3 linked regions of the Sus scrofa genome follow. The main gene of each other region encodes a partner of the protein of the gene in region 2 in a complex. Links are inferred from orthologs where the notes say so. Each region holds a gene or a part of one and is shown on either strand. Other genes may lie near its edges.

What was found.
Region 1: ACTL6B (region 2) and SMARCD2 share a complex: the UniProt entries of both Homo sapiens proteins name them as parts of the BAF complex. The link is inferred for Sus scrofa from reciprocal best matches to the Homo sapiens genes ACTL6B and SMARCD2.
Region 3: ACTL6B (region 2) and DPF1 share a complex: the UniProt entries of both Homo sapiens proteins name them as parts of the neuron-specific chromatin remodeling complex. The link is inferred for Sus scrofa from reciprocal best matches to the Homo sapiens genes ACTL6B and DPF1.

What each region holds. Positions count from the first base shown.
Region 1 is NC_010454.4:15,090,365-15,094,109, forward strand, and holds the start of SMARCD2 (SWI/SNF-related matrix-associated actin-dependent regulator of chromatin subfamily D member 2), read left to right. Parts: upstream 1-1,561; 5' UTR 1,562-1,637; coding exon 1,638-1,853; intron 1,854-3,745. UniProt on the Homo sapiens protein: Involved in transcriptional activation and repression of select genes by chromatin remodeling (alteration of DNA-nucleosome topology).
Region 2 is NC_010445.4:8,566,061-8,569,805, reverse strand, and holds the start of ACTL6B (actin-like protein 6B), read left to right. Parts: upstream 1-1,031; 5' UTR 1,032-1,136; coding exon 1,137-1,161; intron 1,162-1,615; coding exon 1,616-1,692; intron 1,693-1,886; coding exon 1,887-2,052; intron 2,053-2,357; coding exon 2,358-2,458; intron 2,459-3,745. UniProt on the Homo sapiens protein: Involved in transcriptional activation and repression of select genes by chromatin remodeling (alteration of DNA-nucleosome topology).
Region 3 is NC_010448.4:47,141,446-47,144,678, reverse strand, and holds the end of DPF1 (zinc finger protein neuro-d4), read left to right. Parts: intron 1-662; coding exon 663-775; intron 776-1,296; coding exon 1,297-1,408; intron 1,409-1,556; coding exon 1,557-1,627; 3' UTR 1,628-2,673; downstream 2,674-3,233. UniProt on the Homo sapiens protein: May have an important role in developing neurons by participating in regulation of cell survival, possibly as a neurospecific transcription factor. Belongs to the neuron-specific chromatin remodeling complex (nBAF complex).

The sequences.
Region 1 (3,745 bases), on a different chromosome or scaffold from region 2:
TGAAATAGCTCCCCAGGGGATTTACCCCTACTTCCTCTGGAATTACTGTTGCTCTAGCAGCTTGAAAGGGTTGAAATGGACATAAACGCTTTGTCATGAATTCTTTACCCACTTTACAAGCCGGAGAGAGGGGCCCTGGTTCAATGACTGGAACAATTCTAGTGGTCTTCTCAGACTGACAGGTAACCCACTTTTAGGGAGAAAGAGGAGAGGGATCCCTGAGAAGACCAAGAGGCAGGAAAGCAGCAGCAAAAGCAGGGTTTATCACTGGAGGAAAGATACCAGGAAGTACAGATGAGCAAAACTGACTAAAAATGGTTGCTCTATAAATGTGGAACGCTGTGGGGCAAGTCTTGGTTGGGGATGAAAACAAAGGAGAGGATTTGTATGGTAAAAAAGTCTATCTTGGATACTTAAAAAGTGTAGTCTGAGTAACAACAGCATTGCTCAGGAGCTTGTTAGGAATGCAGAATCTTGAGCCTACCCTAGAACCCAGGCCTACTGAAACTTAATCTGCATTTTTAACAAAAGCCTCAGATGTTTCTTATGCTCCTTAAAGAAGCACTGGTCTGTATCATGGGGAAAAAAAATCCCAGAATGTCAGAGGGGCTCCCTGGCACAGCTGAAGCAGCTTTATTTTGCATACCTGCTAACACAGATCTGATTTCCGAAAAGGTATTAAGTTTTTGAATAGTGCTTTAAATCCTGGAGAAAGACCTTATTTAACTTAGGGGTTTCTCATAATGCAAACTTCCTTCTCCTAGAAACATTTCCTCTGGAGTAAAGTATTAGAATTCCTTAAAGTGAGGCAGAGGCACGTTCGAAATATGCGATAAAAACTTGGCGCTTGGCCAAGTCCACTCTTCGCACAGCTGCATAGGGTCTGGAGCAGCCAAGTCTCTTGACAGCTCTGAGCCACTAGGATGGGCTTTTAGAGTCACGCTGGCGGCTGTTCTGCCGCAGAAAGCAGCTTTAAGTTGTCTGTAATGTTAAAACGTAGAAAGGAGCTCTGACAACTATTTTCAGGGACCGAGGCTGGGTACCTCGGCGAACCAGCCGCAAGGGGGGAAGAGAGCAGCAACTACCCGTTTACTACAGTAGTGCTAGTGACCTTCGACCTCTGACCTTCTGCATTTCTTGAGTTGCTTCCGCCCCCTCCCCTCCAGTGGAGGGCCGGCCCAAGGGTATGGGCGGGGCTCCGGGGACCGGCGGTTAGAGGCGGTGCCTGTAGGGGGGCGGGTCTCGCGAGGGCGGTATTTGAGGGGGCATCCTCGCATTGGCCAGCTGGGTATAGGCGGGGCCTAGCGCTGGGCTGGGTTAGGCGGGGGAGGGAGTTAACTGCAGCTTCTGGGTAACTGGACGCTGGCGTTGAAACCTCCAGAGACCGGCGAAGGCTAGCGGGCCCGTAGCGGATCCCGGATCCGGAATTTCCCGGGCAGGACCGGAATCAAGACCGGCCCGGCCCCAAACTGGGTTTGTGAGGAACTCGCGAACTTGGATTAGGAAATCCCGGAACCCGGATCAACAAACCCCAGAACCCGGAATTTAGATCGGAAAGTCCCGGACCGCGGAGCGCGGAGCGAACTCAGCGCGGAGCCCGGAGCCCGGATTGAGACACCGCGGGACGGGACGGAGCGATGTCGGGCCGTGGCGCGGGCGGGTTCCCGTTGCCCCCGCTGAGCCCTGGCGGCGGCGCGGTTGCCGCGGCCCTGGGAGCACCGCCTCCGCCAGCGGGACCCGGCATGCTGCCCGGACCGGCGCTAAGGGGGCCGGGGCCGGCTGGAGGCGTGGGGGGCCCGGGGGCCGCCGCCTTCCGCCCCATGGGCCCCGCGGGCCCCGCAGCACAGTACCAGGTGAGGAGGGCTGAGGGGCGGGCGGCGCCGCGAGCACACTCGGGTAGGGGGCGAAAGAGGCCTCGAGTGAGGGTCCTGGAGCAGCCTTCCTGACAGAGGGCACAGGGGCTCTGCATGCGGAGTTCACGGGGCACTGTGCGGGGCAAAGCCAGGGACTCTGGGGCTCGGCTAGGTGGTTGCGGAGGAGTTAGGGGAGAAGGTAAGAGCGACTCTCGGGTGAAGGGTTTGAAGCTGTTGGGAGGGTGTGAGGTCTTGGAACAGGGGTTCTGAGTAACTGAGAGATGGAGGAGTTGTTGGAGCTAGTGAATTGTAGGCGGGTGGCTTGAGAAGTCTAGTGTAGATTCTCCGCAATGGGGTCCTGGGAAGTGATGAGAAAGTTTTGGAAAAGGGCCCTCACTGAGAAACCAGGGTTACCCTACATTGGTCTTGGTCCTACTCCAAGGCTGCTCTTTTTTCTCTAGTTGGGAACTGGCAGAGTTTTAGCGTGTCTGAGATGGCTCCCAGCTGCTGAGGAGGAAGAAGGGCCTGGCTTCCCACCGACAGGAGGTGGAGGATAGGACCAGCGATTCCAGCCTGTGCAGGGGGAGTCTACTCCTGGGTCATGCGCAGGGGCCTTCACACAGGGGTGACTCTGGGTTAGACCAGAGAGGGTGGTGGCTAGGCCTGAGAAAGGAGGGAAACCCAGCCCATTCTGGACAGACTCTCTTTGGCTTTCTGCCTGGTGTCACAGTGTCCAGGAGTTGATTAGTCTGGGGGAGCATAGAGGCTCCAGTGAGCCTTGCTGGTCTGGGGCTGGAGGAGCCTGTGAGAGTTGCTTCAAAGGGTTCTGTCCTTACCTCTTTGGTGCTTGGCTTTGCAGAGGGCTTCTTGGGTTGCAGCTTCAAAGGCCATGGAGATGCAGAGACTCCATTCTTGGGGTCAGTGTGTGAGGAACTCAGCCTGACCCTGGGGTTGGGGCTTACCAGCCCCCAAGTTCATTGTTTCTGGTTGCCCCAGAATGCTTAGGAATTGTGCCCATTCTTTTCCTACCCTCTGTCCACTTTTTTTTTTTTTGTCTTTTGTCTTTTTAGGCCTGCACCCGCGGCATATGGAGGTTCCCAGGCTAGGGGTCGAAGCAGAGCTGCAGCTGCCAGCCTACATCAGAGCCGCAGCAACGCCAGATCCGAACCATGTCTGCCACCTACACCACAACTCATGGCAATGCCAGATCCTTAACCCACTGAGTGAGGCCAGGGATTGAACCTGCAACCTCATGGTTCCTACTCGGATTCGCTTCCAGTGCACCACAACGGGAACTCCATCCCCACTTTTAATTAGCCTTTTAGGTTCTCACAACGCCATCTGTATCCCAATCCATGTATCCCAGCACTTGACACTGGCTTCTTGCTAATCTCTCAGGGAAGCTAGGAGATTCTCGTGTCTCCAGTAGAGGTCCCCCAAATGGATCCTCATAGAGTAGGGTACACATCCTCCCAGGACCCCTGGGCCTTCACTTTGTAAAGAGATGCTTAACTGGGGACAGTGATTTTTCCCTCTAACTTCTCATTCTCCCTCCACCCTCTAAAGAAAACCTAGGGCCTGGGTATTGATAGAGACAGACCTGGTCCCAGCGGCTCCAGCTGGGATTCATCTTTCCCATCTTGCTCTCCCCCTTGGCCCAAGGTGTCACGGAGGGGTCCCTGCATCTGTCATTCTGGCCCTTGGGCCAGTTAGCTGAGGTGCCTCCCTTTGGGCTGTTGGCCTGGGAGGGATCTAAAGGGCAGATAGGAGCCCCTCCACTTTTCCTCAACCTGCAGCCCATGGGGAATGTGGCCTGGGGAAAACCCCTGAGCAGGTGGCCTCGGGCAAGTGGCAGGGCTGAGCTGGCTGGCTGGGTAGCCCAGGCTACCAGG
Region 2 (3,745 bases):
AGCCTGGGAACTTCCTTTTGCCTCGGGGTGTGGTCCTAAAAAAAAAAAAACAAAACAAAAAACGAAAAATAACGGAGTTCCCGTCGTGGCGCAGTAGTTAACGAATCCGACTAGGAACCACGAGGTTGCGGGTTCGTCCCTGGCCCTGCTCAGTGGGTTAATGATCTGGCGTTGCCGTGAGCTGTGGTGTAGGTTGCAGACGCGGCTTGGATGCCACGTTGCTGTGGCTCTGGCGTAGGCCGATGGCTCCAGCTCCAATTAGACCCCTAGCCTGGGAACCTCCATACGCCGCGGGAGCGGCCCAAGGAATGGCAAAAAAAAAAAAAAAAGCAAACCCCGCCCACCCCCTCCCCCCCCCAAGTGGCCTCAGGCGATGCCCAGAAAAACCTAGGAGCCTCTGGTACAAAACCTGCTTGCTTGATAAATAGCTCCAGAAAGGAATAGATAAAGAGAGCGAAAAGGAAAGGAAGCAAAAGCTAGGTTAGCTGAGTGCCATGTATGAATACGTGTACATGTGTGTACACGTGTGTATGTATAAGGTGTAGGCACTAGGGGATGAGCAGGAAAAGAGGAGTCATCAGAAGGACAAGGGTGGAAAGAAACAGGGAGAAAATCGAGACACACCTGTTTCCTTACCTCTCCTCCTTCCCTACCCCACTTTCCTGGTGATTTCATTTAGTTCAGGGTATGGCAGAACCTTGCTCAGGAGCCTGAGAATGGACGAGTCTGCGAGACTATGGCGCCCTCTCCTCGACCCCATTTTAAAATAAGGAAGCAGAAGCCCTGTCGGTCACCATACAGAGTCCTGATCTCCGGATGGACAAGGTTTCCATCTCTTGCCTACTCCTGCTTCTTGCCTGCCTATCCCTTAGGGCGGGCCTCGAGGTCCTTGATCCCGTTAATTCCCTCCCTGACGCCTAATGTTGAGGTGTCTGGCCCTTTAAAGCAGCAGCCCCCGGTCGAGTTATTGTCTCCCCTCTCAGCCAATCGGCGGCGCCGTTGGGGGCGGGGGACCCGGCCTCCCGATAGGCCGCTCTGAGCCCCGCCCCTCCCGGGATTCCGGGAGCTGTCCGGCCACCTCGGTGCTGATCCCGCCGCCGCCGCCCACGGGCCGCGAGCAGCGCTGAGAGGGCACTATGAGCGGGGGCGTCTATGGCGGAGGTGAGCGAGCCTCGGGCTTCGGGCTCCCCAGCCCGGCGCGGCCTCACCCGAAGCCCAGCGCCCCGAACCCGCGCGATCCAAGCTCTGGACACTCTGGGGCCTGTCACTCGGCGCTACAGCGGGTCCAACCCGGGGTTTGGGTCCTGCACCGCTCCAACCTAAGACCCTTCCCAGACGCTCGCACGCACTCGGCCCAACCTCTCCATCATTCAACCCACCTCCACCCGGCCCCCAGCCTGGCAAGGAGAGTGGCCTGCACACGGGCCACGGGTCAAAAGGGACTTTGGAATCTTGACCCCCACTCCCAAGACCCCGAACTCCTGGCCGAGCTCCCACCTGCCCCGTCCGACGTTGAAGGTGGTGAGACTGTGGCTCTGCCCTGACCTCCTCTCGGAGCAATCCAAGGGGAGAGAGTTTGGGACAGGTCCCCTCACAGGTCTGTCTCTCCGCACAGATGAGGTGGGCGCGCTGGTCTTTGACATTGGCTCCTTCTCAGTCCGCGCTGGGTATGCTGGGGAGGACTGCCCCAAGGTGAGCCTTCCAGCCCCCTCCCCAAATCCTGCCCCCCACCCCCAGGCTTCTCAGTGATCTAGGGTCTCAAGGCCAAGAAAGAAGCTCTGCTGAGCTGGAATTTGGCAGTAAGCCCAGGGATGGGCTGAGAGCCCTGCCAAGGGCCTGGGTAGGTGCAAGAGATTGATTTTTCCTCTGTATTTGCCCCCCTCCAGGCTGACTTCCCCACCACTGTGGGGCTGCTGGCCGCAGAGGAGGGGGGTGGGCTGGAGTTGGAGGGGGAGAAAGAGAAGAAAGGGAAGATCTTTCACATTGATACCAACGCCCTCCACGTGCCTCGGGATGGAGCAGAAGTTATGTCCCCCCTCAAGAATGGCATGAGTAAGGGGCTCGCACCCACTGCCTCCTAACACAGACTGGGAGCCCACCCCCCCTCACCCCAGGGCACAGCACTCCACACCCAAGGAGTCTTCCTTGCAGCTGCCCAAGTCCCAGGGATGCCCTCACTACTTTGCACAGCTGCCTGGTTCCTAACCAGGGGCCACCAGATTCCTGGGGAGGGGGAATTTCTACGGGAGCTTGTCTCACCTCTCCTCCATTGGCCTTGGCCTCCCTCCTTCCTTTCCTTCCTGTCCCTGGACACCCGCCTGCCCACCTTCATCTCTCCCCTGGTCTCCTGGCCCCAGTCGAGGACTGGGAGTGCTTCCGTGCGATCCTGGATCACACCTACAGCAAACACGTCAAGTCCGAGCCAAACCTGCACCCAGTGCTCATGTCTGAGGCCCCGGTAAGTGCCTCATCCAGCCCCTAGTTTAGCTCTGGGTCCCACCATTTACCATTCACCTCTCTCATCAAGCCACTGCCATCAATCACTCCACTTCGCTTTTTGGACTTTCCTTCCTTTTTTTCTTTTTTTTATTTTTAGGACCACACCTGTGACATATGGAGGTTCCCAGGCTAGGGGTCCAATCGGAGCTGTAGCTGCTGGCCTATACGACAGCCACACCAATACAGGATCCAAGCCACGTGTGCAACCTACACCACAGCTCATGACAACGCCGGATCCTTAACCCACTGAGCGAGGCCTGGGGTTGAACCCCCATCCTCATGGATGCTAGTTGGGTTCATTAATAGCTGAGCCACAGGGGGAACTCCCTCAGAGTTTCCTTCCAACACCATCATCTTCAACTACTTTCTTTCCTCCCTGGTTTAATCTCCATGCCTCGCTCTTCCCGCCCCATCCACGTGCTTTTCCCCCAGCCAGACTCCTACACTGCCCCTCCACTGCCCCTCCTCCCAAGATCTTTTTTGAACTTTTAACTTAAAATTGTTGTCCATATTATATATACACATCAATAGTCAATTTACAATAACACAACATTGTAAATGAACTATACTTCAATTTTTGGGTTTTTTGGGGTTTTTTTGGTTGGTTGGTTGGGTGGTTTTTTTTTTTTGTTTTTTTTTTTTTTTGTTTTTTTTTTTTTGCTTTATAGGGCTGTACCCATGGTATATGGAGGTTCCCAGGCTAGGGGTCTAATAGGAACTATAGCTGCCGGCCTACACCACAGCCACAGCAAGGCCAGATCTGAGCTGGGTCTGCAACCTACAGCACATTTCCTGGCAACACCAGATCCTTAACCCACTGAGCGAGGCTAGGGATCGAACCTGCAACCTCATGGTTCCTAATTGGATTCGTTTCCACTGTGCCACATCAGGAACTCCTATACGTCAATTTTTAAGTAAAAAATAAAGTGAAAGTGATAATCAATTTGCTTTAGAAAATATGTTAAGGGAAAAACTGGCATTCATACCCTCTTTCTTCTCTTCACCCTTTTCCAGAGGCAGTTGCTTTTCTCTTAGCTTTTTTTTTTTCCCATTACCTTTCATATCTCTGATTATCACACTTGAATTGAATTGCTGATCATGATTTTTATTTATTTATTTATTTATTTTTAGGGCTGCACCTGAGGCATATGGAAGTTCCCAGACAAGGGGCCAAATCAGAGCTATAGCTGCCAGCCTACACCACAGCCACAGCAAGGCTGGATCTGAGCCTTATCTGTGACCTGCA
Region 3 (3,233 bases), on a different chromosome or scaffold from region 2:
GGTGGCCAATGAATCGTGGTTGTTATGGTATTACGGGCAGTGAAATACAGTTGTGACAATTGGGTGTAGTGGAAGGTAGTTGTCGTGGCCCCGGGTAGCGGCTGGGTGTCTGCACGGGGGTGGGGGGATGGCCAGGGGGTTGGCCCACTGCATAGTCACGTGGGTAACGGTGTGGTGGTTGGGGCATCATGTGTAATGGGCTTGGGTCGCAGGGAACCAGAGCGTGGAGACCCCTCTGTGGAAGGCGGTTGCCATGGCATCGTGGCTGGGAGGCTGGGGTTGCCACGTGCCCGCGGTTCACAGGGCGGGCTGGCCATCCTGCTGTGGGTAATGGAATGCAGCTGCTCAGCGCAGTGGTTAACAGAATGTGGCTGCCCCGGTGTTGTGGGTGGTGGAAAGGGGTTGCCACAGCACTGTGGGTAATGGAATGCGGTTGCCATGGTGTTCTGGGGAGCAGAGTGTGGTTGCCATGGTGGCTGGGTAGGAGACTGGTGGCCACGGCAGCACTGCCTGAGGGACGGGCACTGGGCACCGGGGCTGGGTGGGGTCAGCCTGTGGGCCTTGTGAGCCAGGGGTAGGGGCTGAGCCATTTCACTTCCAGGGGTCAGTAGCCACCAGGGGCACAACGACCCCTAACCGCATCTCTGCCCCTCGGCCCCCAGGACACCCCTCGTGTTTACAGTTCACGGTGAACATGACGGCGGCCGTGCGAACCTACCGTTGGCAGTGCATCGAGTGCAAGTCCTGCAGCCTGTGTGGCACCTCCGAGAACGACGTGAGTGCCCACCCCCCTCCCCGGGACACGCCCCCGGAGCCGCCTCCCTCCAGCACCTCCGGCTTTGCCAGTTGGGTCTAAAGCCTTTCCTGAAGCCCCCTCCCTGGTGAACCCAGTAACCTGTACCATGATTATTAGTTAGTGTCCATTAGTTGAGCCTGGCACTTACTACTCTTCACTCTCCGACTCCTCCCAACCACCCTGAGGTAGAGGGAGGGAGCTCAGAGAGGGGAGCAGACTTGCCCAAGGTCACCCGGCTAAGAAGATGGCACAGCTGGGACCTGACACCGCATCCATTGCTTCTGACCGCCCCAGTGTCATTTTCAGTGTGCCATAGAACCTTAGAAAACCCAAACGACAAACCGCAAACTGACAGTCCTCAGGGGCGTTTCACTCACAGGGTTTTGCCAAGATGACCTCCTCAGAGCCCTCTGTCCTGGAAGGGACCACCTCCCCCAGCCCCTTTGACCTGTCCCCTGCCCCAGCCCCCCCACCCCGGTTTCTGGTACCCGTGCCCCCAGGGTGCCAGCTGGGCGGGTCTCACCCCCCAGGACCAGCTGCTGTTTTGTGACGACTGTGATCGGGGTTACCACATGTACTGCCTGAGTCCCCCCATGGCGGAGCCCCCAGAAGGTGAGCGAAGAGGAGGCCTGGGGGGGTGGGGGAGGGTTGGCAGGTGGACTTCCTGCTGGGGAAGATGGTGCCCGCCGGTGGTGGGCGGGGGTGGGGGCAGCCGTGCCCAGACCCAGGTCTTACTCCCTGTCCTCGGGCCACCCTACAGGGAGCTGGAGTTGTCACCTCTGTCTTCGGCACCTGAAAGAGAAGGCCTCTGCCTACATCACCCTCACCTAGGCCTGCTCTGGCTCACCTGGACCTCTGGGGTGGTGCTTGCCTACCTGAGTCTCCTCCCGGAGCTCCTCCACTCTCTCCCCATCCTTAATGCCCCACAGCGGGAGGGGCGGGCGAGCCTGAGGGGGGCGGGGCCACCCCCTCCCCTCCGTGCAAGTGGAATGCTTGCCCTGTGGGTTGGTGGGCCCAGCTGGGCCCTCTCCTTCCTCCCTCCTTCCCCACCCCTTGGCAAATGGGCACCAGGGGCTTCTGCTCCCCTCAAAGCCATACCCCGCCTCTGGGCGGGCACGAGGGGTGGTGGATGCCAGCTGGGGGCACGGACATAGCCTTTTTCTAAAGAAAAAGTCAAAAAGTTAAAAAAAAAAAAGAAATTAATATATACAAAGAGTCCTATAAGGCCTGGCTGGGTGGAGGGGGGTTGCCGAGCGCATCTCCTGGGCACCAGTCTATGCCAGCTTCCTGCCTGGCGGCCCCTCCCTCCCAGTCTGCGGCACTGCAGCTGTCCCACCTCCCCACCCAAGGTGGGCACCATTCCCTCCTTGTACGCAGGGCAGGTGGTGTGGTGTTGGCCCCCCACCCCCTTGGTGCCCACCGTGGATACTGCATGATGTGAACCATGGTTTTGAGCTCTGTTCCCGCTCCCTCCCCAGAGCCCGGCCCGTGCCCACTCCGTGCTGCCATGGCTGGCCGCCGGTGGGGCAAGGCGGGCCCCTGCCCAGCGCCTGCTGGAACGAGAAGCACAGACTCTGCAAAGGACTAGATTTTTCCCCGCCCCAATTCCCTACCGGCCAGGCCGGGCCGCCCCCTGCCACCCTCGCTGGCCATTTTCGGGGTCTCGAGGGGGCGTGGTTGTTTCTTGTGGTTGTGTTTGTTGTTTGGGTTTTAAAAAAAAGGGAAAATGAGACTGCAAGTGGGGGAGGTGATGGGTTTGGGGGGGTCTCCTCCAATCCAGGCGTGCCCCCTCCTTGTAAACGAGTCTCCTTTATTGCCTGCCTCTGCTGTGAATTAACTTGTTCTGTGTATTAAACTGGGCCTGACCCCTCTGCCCACGTCTGCCTCGTCCTCCAGGCCGGTTTGGGGCGTCACCAAAACTGGAGGTGGGGCCTCACTGGGGGAGAAGCAACTGAGGTTAACAGCTGGAGCTGGCCCCTACCTCTGGCTCCCCTCTGCACCCCGCCTTTCTCTGGCTTTGTCCCGCTCCTCCCTGCCTGGTCGGAAAGGAAAAGAGGGGGGGATGGGGTGGAGGGGGCTCCCACCCAGCCAGCTGTGGTTGCCCTGGCAACGGACTGCTGCAGCTGCAGTGGGAAGCAGCGAGGAGGGAGGCGGGAAGCCGGGGACTGGGGGAAGGGAAGGGATGGAAAGATGAAGACTGAGCCCGGCCCCGCTCCTCCCCTCCTGGGGCTTGGCACAGGGCAGGGGTGCCAGGAGCGCCACGGCCTCGGCCCACTCATGGCCTGGCGCCCCTGAGCCTGACGTGTGGCAAAGAGGAGAGGGGAAGGGGCAAAGGAGAGAAAGACAGATCCAGGGACATTAGGAGAAAAAAAGATTTGGGTGAGGTGGGGTGAGGAGTGAGAACCAGGACACAGAGCGGTCAGGAGAGACAGATGTG